Linked DNA regions of Ovis aries. The protein of the gene in region 1 interacts with the protein of each later gene in a pairwise test. Links are inferred from orthologs where the notes say so. Each region holds a gene or a part of one and is shown in the gene's direction. Other genes may lie near its edges.

Region 1 (4,440 bases):
GACATGGACATCACAGGGGAACACTACAGAATAATATCTCTTAAGGATAAGGATGCATAATTCCTAAACACAATATTAACAAATTGAATCTGATGATTTATAGAAAGAATAATATATCATGGCCAAGTGAGGTATATCTGAGGAATCTCAGGTTGGTTTAACATTGAAAAATCAATTGATATAATTCAATACGTTAACCAAATAAAAAGGACCGTGTGGTTTTCTCAGAGAGGAGAAAAACAGACTTGATTTAAAAGAACAAGACATTTATTATTAAAAAGTCTTAAAGCTAGAATGATAAAGAAACTGCCTTTATTTGATAAGGGGTAGCTTTAAAAACTCTGGGGCTACCTGACCTGCCTCTTGAGAAACCTATATGCAGGTCAGGAAGCAACAGTTAGAACTGGGCATGGAACAACAGACTGGTTCCAAATAGGAAAAGGAGTACGTCAAGGCTGTATATTATCACCCTGCTTATTTAACTTCCGTGCAGAGTACATCATGAGAAACGCTGGACTGGAAGAAACACAAGCTGGAATCAAGATTGCCAGGAGAAATATCAATCACCTCAGATATGCAGATGACACCACCCTTATGGCAGAAAGTGAAGAGGAACTAAAAAGCCTCTTGATGAAAGTGAAAGAGCAGAGTGAAAAGATTGGTGTAAAGCTCAACATTCAGAAAACTAAGATCATGGCATCTGGTCCCATCACTTCATGGGAAATAGATGGGGAAGCAGTGGAGACAGTGTCAGACTTGGCCACCTGATGCGAAGAGCTGACTGACTGGAAAAGACCCCGATGCTGGGAAAGATTGAAGGCGGTAGGAGAAGGGGACGACAGAGGATGCGATGGTTGGCTGGCATCACCGACTCGATGGACGTGAGTCTGAGCAAGCTCCGGGAGATGGTGATGGACAGGGAGGCCTGGCGCGCCGCAGTCCTGCTACTGCTGCTGCTAAGTCGCTCAGCCGTGTCCGACTCTGCGACCCCGTGGACTGCCGCCTACCAGGCTCCTCCGTCCATGGGATTTTCCTGGCAAGAGCACTGGAGTGGGGTGCCAGTGCCTTCTCCTGTGTGAGACACTGAATTGAACTGCGCAGAGGAGAGGGGGGAGCTTGGCCGCGGGAGGGCTGAGGTGATCCTAGGCCACGAGAAGTCGCTAAGGAACGGTGAAGAAGAAAAGCAGAGACCCGTAGGGACTCACAGTGCGCCCCCGGGCGTAAAACCCGCGGGCCTGAGGCGAGCCACGCCCGCCCGGGAGGCCTGCGGAGGCGGGACTAGGAGTGCAGCGATTGGCGGTTGGCCCCGCCTCACCCCGGGGCGGAACCAATTATGACGGCGGCGAGGTTTCCTGCCGGCGCCCGCAGCGTGCGGCACGGAGACGCCGGCGTGCGCCGGCGTGACGCGGCCCCGCGGGATGGGCAGGGCCGAGGCCGAGGCGGCGACGGCGGCAGCTGGGAGAGCTAGAGGCGGCGGCCGCACGACGGTCCTCCGATCCGACCGCCATGAGCACCAAGCAGGTCACTTGCAGGTCAGTGCGCGGCGCCGCGAGTCCTTCCCCGCGCGCGCCTCTCCGCCGCGCCAGGGAGACGAGCCGGAGTGGGGCGGTGGGAAGCGGCTCTCCCGAGGTTCGGGCTCCGGCGGGGCCGGTGCCCAGGACCCGGCGGTGCGTGGCGGAGCCCCGCGGGCGCTGCGCCGGCCGCCGCGCGGCTGGAAAGGAGAGCGCGCTGGCGGGTCGTGCGGGCTGGGAGGTGGGCCCGAGACCTGGGGCGAAGCCGCCGCTGTGCAGCCAGGGGGCCGAGGAGGCCGTTTAGAAACGGCGATACCACCCAGGTGTAGGCTCTCATCGTCGGTGAGGGCCTGCGGAAGCGGCCTTCGGTTCCTAAGGGTCTGGAGAACTCCCATGCACAGTTAGCGAGTTGGAAGCTGCTGTGTGGGAAATAGCGTTTGCTGGAAGTTTCTTTCTTTTCCCGCGTATCCCCAAGGCTTGTGTTCTGCGGTCTTCACAGTAACGTACTAGGCAGACGTTATTCCTGTTTCGTAGGGCAGGGAACTCAGGCCGACGGAGGGTAAGTGAGAGCCGCCCCTTACGGGGAAACCCATTTCTGTGGAGAAATGCGGCGGTAACGGGTGGACCGGGAGTTGTAGAAAATTCAAAACCGGATGGCTCCACTGCGCCCGTTTAATAGAAGGAGCTTGGTGTGTGTAACACCGCATTCCTCGGCAGGGATGTGGCTCGAAGGTCTGGGGGTCCTGCTCTTACTGAACCTGAAAAGTACAGCTTTTAACAGTCGGTCTGAGTTAAATCTGTGTGGGACACAATGATGGGCGGCGGTACCCAGCCCCATAGTCGTGTGGTTCGATTATATGTAATGAAGAGTTTTAAGTATCATCTGTGTTACTACTTCTCTTCCTTACTATGAATAGTTGAGAAAGTGTGATGTAAAAAGTTTCCTGTTAGCATTAGTCTCTATTAACCGTTTAACCAGTTAATCCAAGGCCTATGTGCTGTTGTCAGAAATTGGCAGTTTGTGTGGATAGAAAAGAATTTCACTAGGTTATTTGTAATAGAAGGTCTTTTGTGAGCACTTGTGCGTATGTTTATGTATGTTTCTGTAAACTTCCCCCTGTTGGACAATATCTTTAATCATTGAGGTCTGTATACCAGTATACCAAATTTCAGTTACCCCGCCTAAGCCGCGTCTGCATGAGGGTGCGTGTGTCTGCGCTGCTTTGTAATAGAATCTCCCATCTGCCTGGTGTCTCATTCGACAGATGAGGAGAAGCTGTGCTCCGACTTGAAGCCTGCCCCGAATTCACATCGGCCTCTAGGAACAGAAATGTAAATCAAGATTACCTTGGGGTTGTTCTTTCTATCCTAGGAGATGGCTTGATCTAAAAGCTTTGGTTCTGGTTTTCCCAGATAGGAGTGTCCTGCAGGACGTTGGTACAGAGAAACTAGAGTGGGTTGGAAGGTTGAGAAGGGATCAGTTCTGTACGAAGTGATGTTTGTTGGCGGTACCCTGGGTGCTCTTTGAGGTTCCTTACCAGCCATGTTGCTTGTCATCCAGCAACACACACCATTCCGTGGGTCACCAACCAAACCTCAGCAGTGAAGTGACTTCCAAGGTGGCACATGTGGCATCAGTTTGTGTTCTTGTAGGTGCTCTGGCCCCCAAAGAAGTTCGGGAAATGCTAAGTTAAAGTTTCTTTACTGCGGAAATTTTCAGAGTTTTAAATTTGCTCATACCAAAAAGGAAAACTCATCCAAAACTATACAGTGGGACTGTGCCTAGCGGTCCAGTGCTTAAGACTTCGCCTTCCAGTAGGGGGTTCCAGTTCAATCCCTGGTTAGGGAGCTAACATTTCACATTCTTCAGGGCCAAAAAAATCAGAACAGAAGCAACAGAAACAATATTGTAACAAATTCAGTAAAGACTTTAAAATGGTCCATGTTTAAAAAAAAAAAAAGGTTACTTGCAAAGGGATGCGGAAGAGTCTGGCTTGCAAGGCCTGCCTTGCCCAAGGAGAAACAGAAGACGTACTTACATAGGAAAATGGCAGTGGCACCAAGAGTGCCAGGTTACCATGAGTGCGCTAGTGATGGGAAAGCTCTTCTCGCTTCAGCGCCTTATACACTGAGGTCTTATCTCCAGACATTGGCAACTTATATGAAATGTGCAAGGTTTGATTTGTTCGGGAGACCAGATCTAAAACTGGGTGGTCTCCTGTTTTTGGTTTATGTCAAGATGCAGACGGGTTTTGGTTTATGCTGCATGTCAGCAGGAACAAGTGTTTGTGTTTGTTTTGCTTCCGTTATAATACAAGCTAAATGGTAGGATTCCCAGACTGAAGGACAAAGACATTCCGTTTGTTGCCTGGAATGCAAGAGTGGCCACTCACACCTCTGCGCTGTCGATCAGCTCCCCTCACTCCTCAACATTCCACTCGCTCCAGAATCTCGGTCTGTCCAGAATCTCAATTTTTTGCTGATTCTTTTTTCCAAACCGTCTCCCTAGGTTTCCAGTCTGTTTTCAAAAGCCTGGTGCAGGCCTTTATCACTGCTGGCAACCAGTTTGTTTGTCCTCCGCCTCATGTGATAGCGGTAGGTCCCTTTGTTAAATACGGTTTCCATAGAGTCAGGCCCGGAGCTTGTGATTCATTGAAAGGCACCAACAAAATACGGGGCACCTTGCGGCCCCTGAGTGAAGGACGCGCTTGAGCTCCAGCCTCGGGCAGCTCTGGATTCTGATTCTGGCTTCACCTGGGCTGCAGTCTCCTCACCTGTAAAATGGGGATGGCCATGCCCACCCAGCTTGGAAAAGCCCCTGGTGCTGGGAAGGATCGAGGGCAGAAGGAGAAGGGCGTCAGAGGATGAGATGGCCAGACGGCATCATCGATGCAATGGACATGAACTTGGGCAGACTTCGAGAGGTGGC
Region 2 (4,486 bases), on another chromosome or scaffold:
CTCTGTGTTCCGAATACAGGGGGGCCACAGTTGGATCCCTGGTCAGGGAACTGGATCCCACATGCCACAACTAAGACAGGGTGCAGCTAAATAAATGTTAAAAATAAAAAATTAAAAAAAACAAAACCAAAAACATGGGTAAGGGTAGAGTTCAGTGTTAGAAAAACTACAGGAGAGCCAGCTGGGGATGCCAAGAAGGCAGATGATGGAACCCTTAAAAGAGTCCTTAGGCTGTGCAGGAACACAGCAAGGCTGTTCCTGATGAGCCCAACTTGGCTGTGGAGGAAGGGAGAGGTGTGCAAGGCACCAGGAGAGTAGCTGCTTTCAAGGGATGGATTCTGGCCTTCTTCACACATCTGAGTAGCCATAGCCCGTAGAAGCTTTGCCACTGTCCCACACTGTTCCTTCCCAAAGGCAGGCCTTCTAGCAGCCTGCAAGGCCCTCTGTCAACTGCCACCCCCACCCCCATTGCATTGGTTTGGTCCCCAGGGCCTTCAACGCTCCAGCTCTGAACTTTGGCACTGATTCTTTCCTCGGATTGGAACATCCACCCATAAATCCCGAAAGATCTCTCCTATATCTTTCTTTGCTAAAAATCTCCCCCTTGAGCTCTTTTCCCCCATCTCATTGGATGTAAACTCAAAAAACAAAGAAACAGGTCCCTTTTAACCTGTTCACAGCTATGTTCCCAAGACCTAAAATTGCGTCTGGTAACCAAGAGGTGCTCACTAAGTTCTGTGCATTTGCTTTGCCAGGGGTCTCTCTGGGTGTTTTACCTATCTAATATACTCTCCACACCGTGTGAGGTAGGTACTATTATTCCCAATCTCATTTCATGAGAAAATAATACACGTGACAAACAGAAAAGAAATACTTGGGCACGTCTAGACACCCAGACCCAAGGACCTTTTTATGAGGTGGTTTTGCCCGAGCCAACCTTCCTCTTGAAGCCTTTCAGTTTCTGCGAGAGCTCTCCACGCTCCTGCTTAGGCGGGAGCGGGGTTTATTGTCCAGCAGCCCACAGACTAACTTATCCTTCATTCCCGGTTTTCCTCTCTGTAACCCATTCCTGCCTTAGTCCTGGGTGGACTGTCTTTCTTCACCCAACACCATTAGTGAATAAACCTCTTGAGGGAAGAGTCGCCGCCCGCGCATGGAATTTGTTAGGGTTTAACAGTTCACCTGAACGCAGCTTACTTTGAAATTTTAATATAGTATTATTCACATCGCCCACCGTTACTCACAATTGTGCCCATGAAATTAAGCTCCCTCTGCGATGCCCTCCGAGCCACCAAGCGGAAAGGGAGGGGTTCAGACTGTGCCACGTAAGGCCAGTGAAGCCACTAGGCTCCCCTTACTAAGCTCTGGGGCGTGTACTTCCTCTCTGACGCTTTTGAGACATCATTCCCCTACCATAAGGAGCCTTTTTAAATACTCAGTCATGTTGGTTTAATAAGGGAATTTGTACGGTGCTACCAAATTACGTTGTACGACGGTCTGGACCAGAAGTCTTCTTTTATCTCTCCCTTTGAACTACATGGCGCTGCCACCTTGAGCAGAAGTGAATTATGGGAGGGCGCCATTTCGTTCGAGAGGGCGGGTATTTCCGGATCCGGCGTGGGCGGTTCTCTCTTTTCCTCTGCAGGGCCGCGGTGGAAGCGGTTGTGCGGGTCGCCTCTCTGAGTTATCCAGTTCCATCCTTGTCGCTCCGGCGACACCCGCACTCTCCGTCGCCATGACTGAACAGATGACCCTTCGTGGCACCCTCAAGGGCCACAACGGCTGGGTGACCCAGATCGCTACCACTCCCCAGTTCCCGGACATGATATTGTCCGCCTCTCGAGGTACGGGCTGAGGTGCTGGATTAAGGGGCAGGGGTCGTTGCGCGCGTCACATGGTTGGGCCGGTGGGCTGTGAGTTGACCTGTGCCTAGGCCTCATCGCGGATGAACCGGTGATGCGTCCCCGACTTGGCGAGCCCCGAAACAGCTGGCTGCCGGGAGGGTTGCAAGGCTGGGGCCTTTCTAATCGCTACCTCTCAAACCCGTGTATGTATCTGTGGGCCCAGGAGCCTTCGGGTCGGGCGGCGCCGTGATGATCCCAACATGCCATCTGAGTGCCTATGCTGAAACCCAGAGGCTGTTTCTGAGCTGCTGCCCGGACCCTCTGCTCATTAAAAAGTGGACTCCAAGGCGGACCTCGTGTCTAGTCTCTCGGCTATTTCGGGGCAGCCCTTTCTTCCCCCTTTTTTTTTCCTTCTCATTCTCTCTGTACCTGACTGCATTTGGAGACTTCTTGGCGATTGCTTTTGCGTTCACGCTATTTAAAAATAGTTCATCTGAGGCTACAATCATGTATGGCACTTACTAGGAAAGTTTATTCAGTGGAACACATTGCAGTGAAAGCATCCAGTCCTTAGCGCCTAAAGTGGATTTTCTATTGCTAGTATTTCTTGCATCCTTTAGCAGTAGTTTCAGGAGGCCCACAGCTACTCTTCCATATCCAGCCTGCTGTGTGCATGCATTCTGGAAGTGAAGTCACTCAGTCGTCTCCGACTTTTTGCAGCCCCATGGACTGTAGCCTACCAGGCTCCTCAGTTCTTGGGATTTTCCCAAGCAAGGGTACTGTAGTGGGTTGCCATTTCCTTCTCCAGGAGATCTTCCCTACCCAGGGATTCAACCCAGGTCTCCTGCATTGCAGGCAAATGCTTTACCATCTGAGCTACTAGGGAAGCCCAATAAATAGATGTGGAATCGTTTTAGATTTTCGAAAGGGGCATCCATAACCTGGTAAAGTTTCACACACCTGAGTTAAATTCTCAGGGTGCAACTTAGCTCTGCTTGACTCTTGACTAAAGTTACTTGGACTTGGCTAATAACTACTCTCAGCCTTTAGGTAGTTTCCCTACCCCTAAATGCCCTTGGTTTATGATCCAGAAGGTCAGATGGTGAGCCGTGGGGTTTTTTCACTGGGTCTTTTTTTTTGTTTGTTTTGTTTTAACCTGCCCTTAGATAAGACCATCATTATGTGGAAGCTGACCAGAGATGAGACCAACTATGGTATCCCACAGCGTGCTCTTCGGGGTCACTCCCACTTTGTTAGTGATGTGGTCATTTCCTCAGATGGCCAGTTTGCCCTCTCAGGCTCCTGGGATGGAACCCTTCGCCTTTGGGATCTCACAACGCAAGTAGCTGCTCTGGGGCACTGGGGGAAAGCTGGGTAGAAAGCAGGTAGATACCATCAGGTTTCCCAGGGTAGTGATTGGGTACTTGAGTGGGAACTGTAAGGCACAGTACCTGGAGAAGATATTTGTGGTGGTTCGGCCTCCCTCCCCGTTGCTTTTAATTAGATACACAGAATTGCTGAAGAGTGGTCTGTTTTAGCAGTTTTATCAGATACTGCACTTGGGACTAGACAACATGTTTGAACATACTGTATATTGGGAGCTCAGTCTTGGGTGGTCAGGCATAATGGAGGATCCTGGTGATGACAGATGACATTGTCAGCCAATCCCCACATGGGAGTGAGGACATGTCCTGCAATTCTGAAGGGATTCTCTGGCATATTCTCGGCCAAGGGCCTGCCGTTTATCAAAGCCATGTCCAGGGTGGTGTGGGTAACGCAGCTCCATTGGGTGAGGAATTGGGCCAGGGAAACAGCCTGACTGGAAGAATGTTTGCAGTCTTTCTAGAGAGTAACCAAGTCCTCCTTCTCAGGGGCACCACCACTCGCCGATTTGTAGGCCATACCAAAGATGTGCTGAGTGTGGCCTTCTCTTCTGACAACCGGCAAATTGTCTCTGGCTCCCGAGACAAAACCATCAAACTATGGAATACTCTGGGTGTATGCAAATATACTGTCCAGGTAAAGTAAAGGCACATGCAGGGAGCATATGTTGAACATTTCCCCCATCCTTCTTAACTGGTGCTTTTATATGGTGATTTTAAGCCTCGTCTGGAACCTAAAGGGATTCTATCTTATCTTAAAGGTTTGGGTTCTGGAAGTGTGAATACAGGTTGTCAACATACTGAATATATATCCCACATAACTGAGCGGGGAGGGTGGGGTCTCGAGTTTCATAAGACGAGACAGTTTCTCCTTATTTCCTTTCCATCCTCTGCAGGATGAAAGCCATTCAGAGTGGGTGTCTTGTGTCCGCTTCTCGCCCAACAGCAGCAATCCCATTATTGTTTCCTGTGGCTGGGACAAGCTGGTCAAGGTGAGCTTGGAGCCAGGGCGTGAGGCCTTTACCAACCAGAATGTGTTCCCACTACCTCCCAGTTGGTCATAATCAACTTTGAATCAGCTTTGTCCCTTAACTGACCGTAAGTGGCCAAGATTAATAATTCTTGGACTTTTTTGTCACTGATAGAATGGAAATTGGCTCTCCTATCCAGGGATGCCTTTTAAGCATGGTGCCATGCCTTTTTTTGACCTTGATAGATCCAGAGCCCAGGTTCTTCACCTTTGACCCACAATTTTAGGTA

The links.
Region 2: the proteins of MKRN2 (region 1) and RACK1 interact in binary tests that used the Homo sapiens proteins (3 or more experiments, as listed by UniProt). The two-hybrid records come from large-scale screens. The link is inferred for Ovis aries from reciprocal best matches to the Homo sapiens genes MKRN2 and RACK1.

Annotation. Positions count from the first base shown.
Region 1 is NC_056072.1:56,520,672-56,525,111, reverse strand, and holds the start of MKRN2 (E3 ubiquitin-protein ligase makorin-2), read left to right. Parts: upstream 1-1,415; 5' UTR 1,416-1,506; coding exon 1,507-1,532; intron 1,533-4,440. UniProt on the Homo sapiens protein: E3 ubiquitin ligase catalyzing the covalent attachment of ubiquitin moieties onto substrate proteins.
Region 2 is NC_056058.1:38,114,245-38,118,730, reverse strand, and holds the start of RACK1 (small ribosomal subunit protein RACK1), read left to right. Parts: upstream 1-1,669; 5' UTR 1,670-1,735; coding exon 1,736-1,844; intron 1,845-2,084; exon of another isoform or gene 2,085-2,152; intron 2,153-3,010; coding exon 3,011-3,182; intron 3,183-3,475; exon of another isoform or gene 3,476-3,554; intron 3,555-3,715; coding exon 3,716-3,863; intron 3,864-4,122; coding exon 4,123-4,218; intron 4,219-4,483; coding exon 4,484-4,486. UniProt on the Homo sapiens protein: Scaffolding protein involved in the recruitment, assembly and/or regulation of a variety of signaling molecules. Interacts with a wide variety of proteins and plays a role in many cellular processes.